Linked DNA regions of Saccharomyces cerevisiae S288C. Changing the gene in region 1 together with any one later gene gives a genetic interaction. Each region holds a gene or a part of one and is shown on either strand. Other genes may lie near its edges.

Region 1 (3,849 bases):
ATATGCAATTTTCGGTACAAAAGTACGTATGTCTATAAAAATAGAGTATTGTTTTCTTTGCTATCTTAATCTACCCAGAATTATTCCAAGGAGTTTCAGCCTCGATTTTTTTTTAGTTTAATGGCGTATAGTCCAGTTTCAAGAAATACTCCACCTACTAAGTGAGTACTTAAGAAGTGGTTCCTCGAAGCTTTCCATTGTGATTATATAACTACAAACATTTCGTAAACATAGCTGAATAAGGAACCCATCCTCAACTTCATAACTCTAAAAAAAAATTCTATATATAGGAACGAGACATATGGAGGACGATAATTTAAGAAACTCTAACGTAGTTTGCAGGGAATATTCCTTCTTTTCCGTTAGTCCTGCCTGTCCACCAATCATTTTGAGAATCTGATTTTTTTAAGATAGTAATAACATCACCTTTTTTGAAAGCCAAGTCGCCTGGTTGTTCTCCAGCAAAATTGTAGAGAGCAACAGCCGTTGGTGTCGCCGAATTTGTAGCAGTGGATTCATTACCTAACCCTGTCTTCGACATTTTATGTGATAAATCATCGACATTGCTCATATTGCTGGGGTGAGTTGGGCCATGACCAAGGCTATAACCCCTTTCTCTACCATAACCACGCCTATTTCCTCGGGTATTATCATAATCCCTACCGGAATGGTTGGGACGGGAGTATTCAGTATCTCTATCATACAAATCATCTTCCCATCGGGTATTCGCACGCGGCTTAGTACCCCTATCTATCTGTGGGCCTCTATTGCGGCTGCTGTTTCTATTTGGAGATCTTCCGTAATCATAATCTTCATCTTCGCTATCAAAATCTCCATACCCGCGACCACGTCCGTAACCATCATCATCATAATCATCATCATAACGACTGCGTGACCCCAGCGACATTCCTCTTCTTCTTGATGATCTTGTGTTTGGACGTGTTGAGGATTCATCAGTAGAATCAAAGGAATCTGGAATATCGTCGTAATAATGGCTTGTGTTGTCGCTGTATTGACCGTCATCATAAAAATCATCACCGCTAGCGTTGTCATCATGGTCGTGGCGTGTAAAGTTGAACGCTCTTGATTCCAAGATACGGAGTAGGGGGTCTGCTGCTGGTGGAACTTTTACTCTACCTGACAAAATCATCTTTGATGTACAGTTATCGCCGTAAAACTTTCGATTAGCTTCCCTTCTCTCCAAGATGGCTGAACCTTCCACAGACACACCGGCAAATAAACCTTTGCTTTTGGAATAGGCAAAAACTGCCGAGACACCACCTGTGGATGCAGAAGCTGCAGCTTCTGCACTTCTTCCAAGAGGACCTGCGGAAACTGACACATTACCACCTAAAGTAATTGTACCAAATTCAGAAAAGGACCTCACTGCCTCTTCCGAATTTAAAATAAAAACAAAATCTGTCAATTCAACGCCGACCATACCACCTGCACCAGCACCTGCCATAGCGATAGCAGAGGGAGCCGACCATGTACCGTCTTTTAACCTGGCCACAATCACCCCAGAACCTGCTCTCCCTGAAAACAAGAAGCCAGCCTTTAAAACCGTGATAATTGCTAGACCTTTAGCTCTTTTTAGCACATATGGTGGAATAACTTGGTCTGCTCCAAATACTTGATTTGGTTTAACAAAACTCCTTAGAACTTTCGCGGCCTTCCTGTAGTTAAAACATTCGAAATAAATCAATCATAAAGTTGTTAGTACATTACTTTTGAAAACTCATGCCCCATAAGCAATGGACACAGACTAGAGAGCTATCTTGAACATTTTAGCTGCATCCATAAGTTTAGAGGAGGGGCAGCAGGAAGCATATATATGAACATACTTGGTCTCGCTTTTCAAGCTTCGAGGAATTGGATTATTGATACCCATTTTTGGATTTTGGATTTGATATTACCACTACTCTTGAAAATTTTACTGTGAAGTGTAAGATAGTTTCATGTTATAGATAATGTTAAGAACAGGGTCTAGTTAGGGGGTAGTCAACTTTAATTCCCTTCAGGTCGTTTTCGGTCAGCGTCGGAACATGTAAAAATGTTGTAGGTGGCATACAAACAGGAAATATAAAACAGACAACAGAAGATATTTGCTCTCAAAAAAACAAATAAAAATGGCTTGGTCTGGTGGTAAGGATATAGTGGATCAGATATTTGATGCTGGGTATTGGCTCGTCTCGAAAAGCGCTGTCTTGAGCGATGAGATCAAGAACCACGTCGAAAAATCAATTGAATCCATATCTGGAAAGATATCCAACAAGGAGACTCCTCGACTACAGGAAAACGACAGTAACAGATCTAAAGTATATAAAACTTTGAGGATCGGGCTCCAGGATCATTGGAAGCTAGGCTTGGGAATTTCTGCCACCTCCCTGTGCTTATACCTTGGGTATAGGACCTTTTTTAAACTGCCACCTAATTTACCTGAAGCAGAATCTCAAGTGGTATTAATACTGGGCGATATGAATGATCCTATCATAAGGAATCAAGTGATGGATTTATATCGCAGACGGTTTACAGTATATATTTGTACTGAAAATGCAGACGTCTATAAGAAGCACGAAGAAGATCAGGATTTCATATATTACATTGATCCCACCTGCGAAAAAGACTTCGAGGGTTTTTTTGTTGATGTACCAAGGCTAGCATCCATATTGTTTATGCCAAGGTTATCATATCATCCATCCGGAGTAATTTCATGTGACTCATTGGAATCTGAAATTCATTCAAGTATATTTGTGTATTATCAAGCATTATTAAGCATTATACCCCATTTGAAGAGAAAAACCCAACTAATTATGTTCAATCCATCTTTGACTGCGGACCTGAACTTAGTCCATCATAGTACAGAAATTATAACGTCTGGAATAATCGACTCACTATTTAAAATTTTCAAGGAATATCAAAGGTTAAATGTTTCCACAATCAAGCTTGGAATCCTGCAGATTGGGTCACAACCATCGAACTATAAATTTTTGAGAATGGCCGGTTCAGACATTCACGAGGCCCTACATTATCCAGTTTACAAAATGATAATGAGTGCGAATGGGTATAAACTAAGACAACTGCTAAGTTGGTTAACGACTTTGGGAGGTTACAATAGTGTGTATTATTGCGGCCGTTTTAGTTATTTAGTCTCATGGCCATTTGCTTCACTTATATTCAACCATCACACACGTCTTTCCCTGAAACGCTTGAGAGGAAGATTAGCCAAGGTATATAGCAGCATTATTTCGTTTTTTTGCCGGTCATCTTCTAAATCATCCAAATAATATCCTTGATTAGATAACAATTGCTTATCTACGTATATATATACATAGCACAATCTCGAAAATATAATACTAATAACAAAATAAGTATTTAAAGAAGGGTTGATGAAGTCCTAGAAGTACCAGACCTGATGAAATTCTTGCGCATAACGTCGCCATCTGCTAATTTAATTGGGATTTCAAATTATCCAATTGCTTCAATACAGCAGATTTAGCGGTTCCACCAGTAGCATCTCGTCTTTCAACGCTTTGTTCAAAGTTAAAAGTTTCAAAAAGATCTTGTCCGAATCTCGAATCGATCTTTTGATACTGCTCCAAGGTTAATTTATCAATACCGCTTAGACCAAGTCTTTCAGCAGTAGCGACACACTCACCAGATATGTGATGAGTCTCTCTGAATGGAACACCCTTTCTGACCAAGTAATCTGCCAAGTCGGTAGCTAGCATATCCATCGTGAGAGCAGCTTCCATCTTTTCCTTATTTACAGTTAAGGTAGAAATAACACCTGTGGCAATCAGCATGGAGTGCTCTACAGTTGTTAAGCAATCGAATAGTGGCTCTTTG
Region 2 (2,960 bases), on another chromosome or scaffold:
GTACCCATTTCGTGCATCTAAATATACTAATATTCAGTGAATGGTGATAAAGGTACTCCACACTTACTTGGATCACTCTTGTGATCAATTTAAGATACCTATATGTGTAACCGTATTATGTAATTATGAAGTATAAGTCGTTGAAAGACTTATACTTTTTAGGCGTAATATCAGATGGAATCAAAGAAATTATAGAAAACAGTAGATCAGAGATCCTGCCTTTGGAATTCTGTAATTCAACATATGGAAAAATTGATGCGAAATCACAAGAGTACAGGGATAATTTGGTAATGTATCTCACTAGTTACCATTGTTTTGCTACGCGTACTATCTCGTTTCAATCACCTCTTCTATAATATTACTAAAAAATGTTCATATGTTATATGGCGTACCGATAAAGTTATTGCATTTCTCATGCGATTTTAACTTCCTTTTCAAGTCAAGGATACTTTGTGCAAGCGTAAATCCTTGCTCAATCTCCTCTGCTCAAAATGAAAAAAAAAAAAACGCAGAATCATATGCAGGATGCAATATTGCTTAAATGATTCTATATTTTGCACTTATGTGTGAAGAGTGTAATTTTTGATCTTCCATTTTAATGTTATGCACATAGAGCTGAAATTAAATGCGTCATATATAATTATTATGAGTGAGTGGATTTTGAGATAATTATTGGGAATTCATTATTGCTTGAGATAATATTATTACTTATACAGAATACACTAGAAGTGCTCCTCGGGGACATAGAGATCCATAAAAGGGAATCGATAATTCTACACATTAATCTGTTTTATTTCTTTATCTGTTTTACACGTTTTCATTCATTATCTTATTACAAAATCAGCCCTTGCGCTTCATGTTCCATTATACTCGCAGACTGTTTCTCATCATTTATCTCATCTTTAACTCCATTCAGTATATTATCTTAATAACGCGACTACTAGTAGTGAATAATGGTCAATTTTTACTTCAGAAACTTCCCTTGATTTCATTCATAGATGTTATTTCATTGTCAATTTTTACTCTTACTCACCGATTTGAATGACAGTAAAGAACTTTGCTCAATTAATATTATATTTGTTGTTATCGTCTAACGCTGTAAGTATATGGTACTATCATAAGAACCTCAGTAGTGGAATATGGTTGTTTCTTGTGCTGACATGATTCCGGATGGCCTGTAGGAAAGTATCCAAGATTTTTATTATCAGATACCGGTATGCATTCCATAATGCCAGAGTTTGCGTTCTTACGTCAAAGAACAATGATGCTACGGAGCGCAAGAAAGTGACGTGGCCAACTATCAGCGCGCTAGGATATGTATGCACTGCCGAAAGGCTGAAGCGTATCGTACATTAATTCATAAAGAGAAAGAAATCTCAACCCTGAATTTAGGATAGCGAAGTGCAATAAGAAAAACTTTACCATTGTTTTCAGGATGAATTCTATATCAGCCTGTTTATATAAACAATTTGACAATAGTGCGTAAAGCTAAAAAAGGAAGCATGCCCTTTGTTCCTTATCGGGTGGAGAGGGCCGCACTTAATCTCGAGCGGATATCAGGTACCAAAAGCCTAATTGAAGCAGGCAAATTTTTTTTCCCTATTTTCTTTTATTTGAGTGTGTACATACTAATATAAATTTGATCAAATAATGAATGCGATTAAAAATCAATATTGGCAAATGGAAAAAAATCTAATAGCGGCTAATAGTGAGACTTACATCGCTATAGATTGGTAATTAAACGAATTAAATAATAACAATTGAAAAAAAAAAAACTATCATGAGAGAATATACCAGTAAAAAAGAACTAAAGGAAGAGATTGAAAAAAAATATGAAAAATATGATGCAGAATTTGAAACAATCTCTGAATCTCAAAAAGACGAAAAAGTTGAAACAGTGGATAGAACACCCTCTGAAAACCTCTCTTATCAATTGGGCTGGGTTAATTTATTATTAGAGTGGGAAGCAAAGGAAATTGCTGGGTATAATGTGGAAACTCCTGCGCCTGGTTATAAATGGAACAATTTAGGAGGATTATACCAGTCATTTTATAAAAAATACGGAATCTACTCCATTAAGGAGCAAAGAGCCAAGCTGAGAGAGGCCGTAAACGAGGTCTATAAATGGATATCTACTTTATCTGATGATGAGCTCTTTCAAGCGGGAAATAGAAAATGGGCTACAACTAAAGCTATGTGGCCTGTGTATAAATGGATCCATATCAACACGGTTGCTCCTTTCACAAACTTTAGAGGAAAAATTAGAAAATGGAAGAGACTAGTGCCTGAAGAACAACGCATAAAAAGGAGGAAGATATAATGAGAAAGTTGTATATGGCCGTCTATTTTTTTTCTTGCAGGATTTAGAAACTACCACAGGAAAACCTTTTTTAATATCATATTTTTTGATATTATTATATTTGAGAAATGAATCTCGATTATTATGAGTCAATTTAACAAAACCTCATATAATGTACAGCAGTATAAAGACAAAACTCTCTTACGCTTACCATAGCCTCAATAACATGTCACAATACGAACTTTTTATGTTCTTCCCATATATTTTATTGTACTCTACACACACAGTATTGATCATATAGTTAATTTACCTTACTATACGCTAACCTTTAAAGCAACAAAGATATAGACGATACCATACATGAATGTCGATCAGAGACGTATGGTATAGCTTGTGTCACATTCTGCTATCGTATATGGTATACATGGCACATACTTTAAATTTTAAAGTAATGTCACTTGATTAAGATCTTTCCTATACGTCAAGGTCTCGAGATAAAACTTTATGTCTCAAATAATACATGCTAGGCATATAATGACCCATTTTCTGGAGTTGATGTACTCAAGACATTGGTTAAATATCAATCACGCATGATGATAGTGCGCCCTATTATAACCCATTTTTGTCATCGTCATCACGCTTCATCACCTGAGAAAAGTAA

Evidence for each region.
Region 2: mutations in YSC83 (region 1) and IRC4 together harm fitness more than expected from each alone (negative genetic interaction), as found in Saccharomyces cerevisiae (2 studies listed by BioGRID).

Annotation. Positions count from the first base shown.
Region 1 is NC_001140.6:136,565-140,413, forward strand, and holds YSC83 (Ysc83p), read left to right. Parts: upstream 1-2,129; coding exon 2,130-3,287; downstream 3,288-3,849. Other genes in the region: YSC84 (Ysc84p), read right to left, coding at 317-1,676, 1,845-1,891; argininosuccinate lyase ARG4, read right to left, coding at 3,447-3,849.
Region 2 is NC_001136.10:1,516,496-1,519,455, reverse strand, and holds IRC4 (Irc4p), read left to right. Parts: upstream 1-1,780; coding exon 1,781-2,320; downstream 2,321-2,960.